Schizosaccharomyces pombe: one gene and its partner. The gene in region 1 interacts genetically with each later gene. Each region holds a gene or a part of one and is shown on either strand. Other genes may lie near its edges.

Evidence for each region. A genetic interaction does not mean that the proteins touch.
Region 2: mutations in mga2 (region 1) and vph2 together harm fitness more than expected from each alone (negative genetic interaction), as found in Schizosaccharomyces pombe (2 studies listed by BioGRID).

The regions. Positions count from the first base shown.
Region 1 is NC_003424.3:4,123,146-4,129,344, forward strand, and holds mga2 (IPT/TIG ankyrin repeat-containing transcription regulator), read left to right. Parts: upstream 1-1,937; 5' UTR 1,938-2,066; coding exon 2,067-5,522; 3' UTR 5,523-5,660; downstream 5,661-6,199. Other genes in the region: protein Gid5, read left to right, coding at 1-1,373.
Region 2 is NC_003421.2:66,401-70,028, forward strand, and holds vph2 (V-ATPase assembly protein), read left to right. Parts: upstream 1-1,851; 5' UTR 1,852-2,130; coding exon 2,131-2,553; intron 2,554-2,616; coding exon 2,617-2,835; 3' UTR 2,836-3,079; downstream 3,080-3,628. Other genes in the region: RNA-binding protein Rnc1, read right to left, coding at 1-285; SPOM_SPCC757.11C (transporter), read right to left, coding at 3,241-3,628. UniProt on the Schizosaccharomyces pombe protein: Required for vacuolar ATPase assembly.

The DNA of each region.
Region 1 (6,199 bases):
CTCCCATTCTCATCCGTTTATTTTTTGAATCTCGAGAAGCAAAACAAATCGCTCCTCGTATTCTCGCCATCATAATCAATGAAAACGAAATTATGCAAAAGACGGCTGTAAATGCAGGTTTTATTGATGCTGCCAAATATCTTCTAGAATACGCAACTAAAGAAGAAGAGAATGAAATTAATTTTTTATCCGATGAATTGCAATCCAGCGTTTGTTTTAATCTTCCTGCTACCAAAAAGGAGCAAAAAAACCTAATCTTAGAATCAGTTTTGCTAGCCGTTGCTGCATTAACAACTTCTAAAGATGAATACAGAAAACTAATAGTTGATGCTAAATATTTGCCTGTTATCATTAATGCTTTGAAAATCAATTCTAACAGCGTGAAAAAGGCTGCTTGTGAATGCTTATTAAGTCTCTCGAGAAGCGTTTACATTTTACGTACGGGCCTTGCCGATGCAGACGTGAGCGAACCATTAATAAAGTTGCTTTCTGACCCGGATACTAGAGTCAAATCGACTGCTACGTCTGCCATTTGTAACTTGGTACTTAAGTTTTCTCCTTTGAGAGAGAAATTCCTTACTACAAATTTCATTGATACTTTGATATCAAATATTAGTACGAAAGATAGCAGTCTAAGAAAGAAGACCGTGTGGGTTCTGCGGCATGTTGTATTTGGTGATGATGAGACGATCCAGCTTGAACCTTTAAAAAAGATCGGTGCTTCAAAGCTTGTGGAACTTTGCAATGACGAAGATCTGGGGGTCCAAGAGCAAATGTTGCAAGTGCTGCGAAATTTTACATGTCAGAAAGAAGAAAGCGTGGATTTTCTTTTGAAAATGGTTCCTATGGAGTTGTTAGCAAAAATTTTGCTTGAAAAATTAGAAAGTAAAAATCCTATCCTAATTGAACCCAGTATTTACATTTTGGTGCACATCGCTGCCAGCGATGGTGAGCTTAGGGATTCTATCCTAAGGCAAACCAAACTACTACTATTGGTGAAGGAAATTATGCTACAAGAAGCACAACGTCTCAAGCCCGAGCAAATGTCCACAAATGTGTCATCTCCGGAAAGTGACAGTGAAATGGATTTGCAAGAAGATGATTTTGATAGGGAAATGCGTCCTCCTTTCGATATTTATGAAGAGGACACTTATGAACCAAACTCCGAAATTCTGTTGGCCGGAATTTGGCTCTGTATTAACATTCTATGGCCCAAACAATGTACATCTCCAAGCCAGGAAGATAAGGAAAGAGCAAGTATCTTACAAAATCTCGGATTTGGAGAATGTTTGCAGATGCTACAAAATCACTCATCTCCTGATGTAAGGGAACGTGTCAAAGATGCCTTGATGTACATCAATGTAACCGATTAATTTCTATTACGCTTTTCCGTTGTCTTTGCCGACTTGATTGGAACAGTCTAACAAATCGGAGCCATTTTCGCATTTAGTATTTCTGTATGTATAAATGTGTGCACAACTCTTGCAGCTGAAGTTAACAGGTTGTTGGATTGAAGTACTTTGAGAATGATCGTATATAAAAAGATTTAATGATTTATCAAAACGAATAAAATAAGTATTATGAACATTCAACTTATATGTATGCGGGATAGTGTAAAAACCTATTTAACATTGTAAAAATTTTTTAAGGAAAGTTGTACTTTGACAAGAACAATTTCATTTACATGTATTCTACTAAATTTATCAGAATGTTGGGAATTTTTTTGTTGGTATATAATGCCGAAAGGAAATTAATCGAATATGAAGAAAGTGGCGGAACTAAAAAACAAAACCCACAAACTAATTATTTAAATAAATATAACATAATAACTTGTTAAAATAAGAGTAATACTAGAGAATGTGTGCTCAAGTGGAAAGCATGTAATACTTGCACAACGTGATGGAAGAGATTAGTGTAGTAGCGCAGCGACAGCTTCCAACAACCAACTAATCGAGGAGGAAAGCAAAAGTGAGAATTGAAAAGAAGTAGTACATTAAAGACCTTTAAATTCTTTGAAAGAATTGCCTTTATAAAGGTAGTCTATTGCATTTCAAAGTACTCTCAAGATGAATTTAGAATTTTCTTTTGGAAATTTGATCGCCAAAAATACCGAGAATTCGACTAAGGAAGAAGGAACTTGGGAAGTAAACAAGCTCATGAAATTTAGTTCAGAGGAGGGGAGGTCTTCCTCTGATGATTATATGTTTTCCTCTCCCGATTTTGAAAAAGCCGGAAACGGCGATGCAGAAATGCGTGAATTTTTTAACTTCGATGGATTGCCGGATCAAGGTCTAAATTTGCCTAGTATAGCTCCTCCGTCTTTATCCCATGCCAGTTCACCTAACTTATCGAATTCACAAGATGAAGCGGAATGTTTACCGTCTGATCGTCAGCAAGACTACATCAATCCTAGTTTGCATTTGAACAGAACGGTGTTTCCTACTCCGCAACATTCTATTTCTGATGCTAATTTTCTAGCTAATACCGTTGATCAACCTTTGGGAGATAATCCCATGTTTGGAGAGTCGGATGTTTATCTTTTAAAAATGGATCCTATGAAACAAGCACCTTATGAAGCTGGATTTAATTCTGTAAAGTCATCGGGCGCCATCGAAGATCCATTACAGTTTAGACAGCCGATTACCATGTTGGAAACTCCCTTCAACGAATCTATTAATACTCTTACGCCATATGCCGAAGATTATGCATTTTCCTCTTTAAATACGTCTGCACCGCCTCTTTCTAATAAGGAGTACGCGTTCTCAGTTAATCATTTACCAGCTATCAATGAGCACAAATGGAAATCTCGGGTGGAAACTAACATGCTTTTTGAGTTGCGGATCAAGAGCAACGATAATCAAAGTGTTCCGTTTGAATATCTTCGCTTGCCAAGTTGGGCTCACCGTGAAGACAAAAAGCGTTCTTCGAAACCTCAGCCTTTGCAACCCGATCCGGAGACCGTCATTCATCTTGTACCTACCGTTCTTGCAGGTGACAAAAGCTCAGTTGTTAAGACTTGCTGTACTCGCTGTTTACTTCGAGAAAGGAAGCGCAATGCTCGATCTCAAGCAACAAAGGATGCTTGTATGCCTAACTATACTAAACTGAAGGCTTATGAGCGTAACATGACTGATGCCTCTCCCGAAGAAAAGCAGCAGTTCAGGATCAAGCTCTTAAATCAATTTCCCAAACTTGAAGACATAGATGAAGATAGAATGATAATGGTTTTTACTGGACCTGAGTACGTTCGTTTGCAATTGGATGGAAATGAAAGAGTTGCTCACATCAATGCACGGATTACATGTTACTCGTCTCATCAATCATGCCCTTACTTTCACATCATATGGGACTTATACTCCATGTCACGTTTGGTGGATCGTCTTGTTTTTCCAGAGCCTGTTACCGTTCTTGATGATCATAAAAGTAGAAATCTTACGAAATCAGAAAAGACTGGTAAGAGCAATTCTCAACAAGCTCCTTCAAACCATGTTCTTTCTAAAAGCAATACTGTCCCCAATCTTGTCACTGGTTTCCCTACCCGTTCAGATAATCCACCAAATGAAAAGCGTCGTCGAACATCCTCGAGTGAAAATTCTAGAGCACTCGACATACAACTATCTGCTAGTGACTCGCATTCACCTAATTCGAAAAGCACTTTGAAAAGTGTTGAGGGCTCAGCCTTTAGTATGAGCAAATCCCCTTCTGTGCTGAGTATGACTACCCCAAGCGGCGTAAGTCCTTCCATTTCAAAGAATGGTTTCCATGTTGTTCGAGTTCCCAGCGATGCCGCTGGTTTCCAACAAAGACAACAGCAAGAGGAAGGAGTGCTTGAAGCCCATACAAATGAAAGTGCCCCAATAGCCCCATTCCCTTACTGTACAGATGATTTCTCGTTTTCCGTTGAAGAAAAAAGTAGTGTCAACAACTTGCTTACACAATTTGATGAGGTTGCTAAACCTGATTTTGTAAGTACGCCGATAAAAGAAAATGTTGATTCTTCTTTTATAAACATGACTCCACCTGATGTTTCACATGCTCCCTTAATATCTCGGATTATTCCTAATAAGGGTTCAATCATGGGAGGTTATGAAGTTACAATTCTTGGCGCGAACTTTTTTAATGGATTAGTCTGTTTATTTGGTGACAACCCAGCTGCTGTAACTTTTTCGTGGAGTGAGTCAACGATTATAGCGACTTGTCCTCCTGCAACTAATGCTGGAACCGTTCCTGTAACCTTTCAGAACTATAATTCATCTTCTGAAGCGCCAGTAATGTTTACTTATGAAGATAATTTAGATAATGAACTTTACAAATTAACTGTTCAAGTTTTAGGCTTAAAACTTACTGGATCTATTCAAAACCCATTAACGTTATCCAAAAAATTGTTGAGTTCATGGCGCGACGATTTTGCTCAATATATAACAAATTCTATTAAGCAGCCTCCTAACAGTGAATCTAAAGGTCAGTCTAAAAAAACCTTATTGCATGATAGCAATATGGAATCGCTTAAATCGGTTATTTCGCGGATTGTGAAAAAAGACAGTAATCAGTCTGATGACAGTGTTGAAAGTACTATCCTCGCAGCATTTGCTCTTGTTACAGATACAACGACACCATACCTTTCTGATTTTAGTCTTGTTAACGAATCTGGTAGGTCACTTCTCCACCTTACTGCTGCCTGTGGATTGTCTAATGCTTCGACGTTCTTATGCAACGCAGGATGCGATGTTAACAAAAGGGACGCACTTGGCTATACACCACTGCATTATGCTTCATTGTATGATCATAAAGACATATGTGTTAATTTACTTTCCAACGGTGCCAAGCCTGATGTTATAGGAGCTAGCGGTAAAAAACCGATAGACCTCTCCTCTTCTGAGCCTATAAAACTGGTCTTTAAGGAAGCAAATAATGAACAAGCCCAAAGTATTTCTCGCTCTCTTATTAAGGATTCTGAAGGCTCCATTAATACAAATGAAACCTTAGAATCAACCAGTATTGTTAACGAAATTGAGGAATCTGCTGTTCAGACCAAGTCATATAGTGAAAGTATGTGGAATAAAACTGTTACAATGTTTCCATCGCTTCAAGAACTACCTCAGAATTATATGAGTGAAGTTCCATCCATGATGCAAAAAGCCATGCTGTCAACCTTAAAAAGTATATCGGCCATTCCCGATGATGTACCCCCTCCTTATTCTGAGTTTGCTGATGATACGACAGCGCAAGCTGGTTCTAGTAAAAGAGATAGCGCTATATCTGAAGATCCCGATCATCACAAAAGTGTTTGGTGGTCTTTGAGATGGCAATCTCGGCTTGTTGGTCGTGGAAAATCTACTGCTCTTACTCCTGAAGAAACCAGAGCAATACAGGAGCAGGCAAAGACACTGAAAAAGGCAGGAATGGACTTTATGCTATTCTCTTTCTGGTTACCTGCCCTACTTTTGCTGAGTATCTTTGGTCTTCGAAGCTATGCTCAAATGATCGGGGGATATTTATATCGCTGCATAATTGGCATTTAGGTTTGACGAACAACCATGCATGTTTTTTTCTTTCTTTTAGTTTTATTCTTTTTTGTAGATTATGAGCAAACTACTGTCAAAACTTAGGTATTATGACAATGAAATCGTATATATTATATTCGATTGGATCAATTTTTTATTATATTGAAAGTAATTGCTTATTTTGTAAGTTAAACTTACATGGGTTTAAACGCATAGAGCAGGTTGGCGCTTTTAAAACCAAAATAGATCGTTGCAGGTTTGCTGTTCTGGATCGTGAATGCAATACCTTAGGAAAGTCTTTTAATAAGCTATCGCTTTTTGCATTGCATTCTTTTTCTAAACTGAACGTTAGATTAGCTAAAGTAAGCGTCTTGAGTTTTCGAGATGAACCGCATACATTAAAATTTTTAAGTACCAATTGGCATGAACCGGTATGCGATCTGCTTATTATAATACTAGTAAATCTTGATACTCGGCAAACTCTTTCAATAATAGCCTAGCAGAAACTGGGATATGTCTAAAGTTTTACAACTGCGCTCAGCTTAAGGACTTTACGGCGATCCATTTAATAGCTAGCCATGAACACTCATAACCTCAAGATTGAGGAGTGGGTCATTCTTTTGCTTGATAAAGAAACAAATTCATTATTGGTAAAATAAAACTGAATAACCCTTAGTTCATCCTAGGAATTTGAA
Region 2 (3,628 bases), on another chromosome or scaffold:
GGTAAGTTGTTGAGTAGCATAGGTGGCATCATCCATCGGTGGCTTGGCAGAGATGGGAGGCACTTGAGACGTTGGTTCGGGTTGGTTGGTCATGGACTGTTGAATAGTAGAACCGTTAGTAAGAGTCGATAGAGGTGTAGAGGGCTTTGGAGTAGGTATGGAAACTTTAGCAATGCCAGTAGCAGTAGAAGTGGTTTCGTCGGGTTCGTCTTGAAACGTTACGTCAAAAAAAGAGTTCTCTTTTTCCTCGATGTTTTTAGGAATGCTGAAGTGATTGTAAGCCATAGATGTCACTGGAATAGTATTGGTTAATTGAATAGGACACATATGCGTTTCTAGGAGGAGAGTAGAACCTTTTCTAAATTACTTCCTGAAAACTGATTAGTTCAAACCTGCAGGGATTTAGCGGAGATTAAAAAAAAAAAGGAAAACGGATTAGGCTCCTTCTAAGCTCTTATTGCAGTTTCTTATAAATTGAAATTGCAATCAATAGCTGTGATTACTTCGACAAAAATGAAGTAAACGACCAAGGAGAACGGAGTAGTGGTAAACGGGGTGTAGCAGTGACAAAGAGAAAATTTTCTGCAAGTAAGTCTTTTGGTGGGGAAATAACGAAGTTTGAAGAACGTATAGTAAAGTCGCACAATTTACTGATAGGAAGTGGTAGCGTAGCTTTACGCCTCAGTCGTTATATCTTTGGAAGTGAAAATGATGAGATTAATAAATGAGAAGAGCATTACAAGAATGGGTTTTTTAAATAATCGTAAATTTCCTAGCTAAAGCTAACGAATGCTGCCAAGTGAAATATCATTCTTTTAGTCAATATAGCAGGTATTAACGTAGTTGTTTTCGTTGGCCTTTGCTTCGGTATATAGGATAGCGTGGTTCAAGCGACTTTGTAAGATCAGATGAAAGATAAAGGGCAAAAACCTAAATAGCGTCCATGCATCAGTGGAACTTTCTTTCTTCAGATTACGTTATATGGTATAGTGAGCTTTGAAAATCGTTGAAAAAATTCGAATTTAATGGTGCAGAGGCAAAGACGATATGGACGTTCGGAAAAATGAAAACTATACTGGAGGAAGTTATCTTTATTTGATTCTGTCTTCGTAATTAAGCTTCCTTCAGCTTCGAACTTTTCATTTCCTAATTCGAATACCTATTTGTTCACCCGTACCTCTTTAGGTTTATATTTGTTCTTGCAAACTGTTCTGCGGCGATATGAATTTTGCTACCCCAAAGTTTACGTAAGCCAAGTTTGTCGTAAATAAATTCGCAAAAAAAAGTACTTTGGATGGTGCAACATGGAAGAATTGAACGCCGTTGAAACGCTGGTATTTTTGAACATGAAGTATCTCAGTATTCAACCCAAAGTCATAAAAATTCTTGAACCTTTAGCTTTCCAAGCGCTGAATGAGCATACTGGGACACATTTTGAAACCATAGACGCAAGTAATAATTGCGTAAGTTATATAAAACTCATAGAGCCAACAAAGCTAGTAGCATTTACTTCTTAATATTATATTGAAATTCCAATAAATAATCTTTGAATATCGTTTGTATGAAATACCCGAGAGCAATTGCGGCGCTAAATTAAACTGAATGTTCAGTTACCAAGATTTATGTCACTTCATAGAAAGATATAATATCACAGTAGCGTGTACCATTCTTCTATACCTCACTGAACGAGGAAGTCTACAATTCTGCTTGGCCTAGCACAGTGTTAGCGAGGGTGAAGAATAAAATTATGATGCTAATTACCAAAACGGTGATTTCAAAAAAAGTTGAGGAACTTTCATATTTTCATTTTTTGCCTCTTATAGGACGCTATGTATTACGTTGCGTAACTTTGACTTTTGCAAATACTTGGATGTACCACTGTCTCCATGTTTGTTTGTTGGTCAATATAAAACGTAGTATTAGACATTAAAATATTGGTTTAATTATTTCATTTAGAAAACTCAATAGAAATTTAGCAAATATCGTCAACCAACCTAGATTGATCCTGTTTCACGCAATTCGGACTATATGAATCGTTTTTGATTGCTTTCTAGACTTCATAGCATTATTACTTACCCTTCTACTTTTTTAATACCTTCGAAATTGTCAAATTGACTCATTATTGCAAAAATGCTGTACAGGCTCTCCGAAAAACAGCAGACAGACTTACGGTGTAATAAATTAACTGTCGATGGATTTGAGCTGGTAAAAATGTTAAAGGAATTACGATTACATAACAGGAATATCAATTTTTTGGAATTTCTTCGAGGTGTACAGATTGTGCCGAGCGACAGTGTCTTCTTGGGCGAAATTGATGAAAACAGCCATACTCAAGACAATACAACTACTTCTATCTTAAAGGAGAAAGAGCTATATGATGGTATTCCTCTGCTTCCATCAATGGCAGGCGTATCCATGGACCCTGAGAGAGAAAAAAAATCAGAGTTACGACTAATGAAAAACCAAATCAGCGCTATAATCAATATACTCTTCACAGTAGTAGGAACGGTGACCGCTGTTTGGTACTGCACTTCATCTTTATCTATTGAAAAGGTATGAATTAAAAACTTTCGTTTTGTTCCTGGGAGACCTTTGTATTGACTTAATATTATTTAGAAAATTGCGCTATGTGCGTTTTCAGCAATCTTGGTTCTAGTAGCAGATACGTTTCTTTATGTCCGCTATCTATCTGCACAACCCGTACGAACTTCAAAGAATCATACTCGACAAATAATATATACATGGACAACAAATGACCCTGTTCTACAGTCAAATGAGCAGCTAGCTATAGAACTGGGAGCCATTCCATCTTTGAAGGAAAAAAAGAACCAATAATTATATTCTTAATTTTTAGATGTTTTATTAACGAAAGTACCTTTGATGTTTTCCTGTAGATGATTTTTATAGGTTGTTTGTCTAATTGATCATAATGGCATACCTCTCTATGTGTTAATTGAAGGGCAGGCACCTATGGGCACACTATAGATAAAAAATAAAAAGTATTTAAGATAAAAAATTCGAACTCATTTGGCTTTTAACGTATATTTCATCAATTAATTTCATTATAATTAAAGATTTAGCAACATTATTTCAATTTAATTAGCCATTTGGTATTAGATTTATTTGTAAGGAACACAACTTACAAATTTATAAATAAACAACAAATCAACCCCCCCTTGTAAAAAAATTAAAAAAAAAAAAAAAAATAGAGAGCAACCTAACCATTGAGTTACCAGTGAATTATGCAAGGCGCAACTTGACCTTAAGTTTCTTCCATATAATCAATAGTGCAAGCACAGACATAACGTTTAATATTAAGCATACCGCAAAAAAAACAACAGGTGAGAACGAGCGAAATGCACCGCCAAAGATAGCACCAACTGTGTCGGATAAGGAAATTGATATTTGCACAGCGACGTTACCTATCAGGTGGTACTTAGGATGTAAAACCTTTGTCAATAAAGAGACCGAAGGGGAATTAGCAATAGAAGATCCAAAAAAAACAAGGGTGTAAATAATAAAGTAAGGTTGTACGAATTCCTTGCCTGTATAGTGAATAGTTATATGAATAACCATGCATACGATGTTTAAACAACAACCCAACAATATGATATCTCTGTCAGTCAAG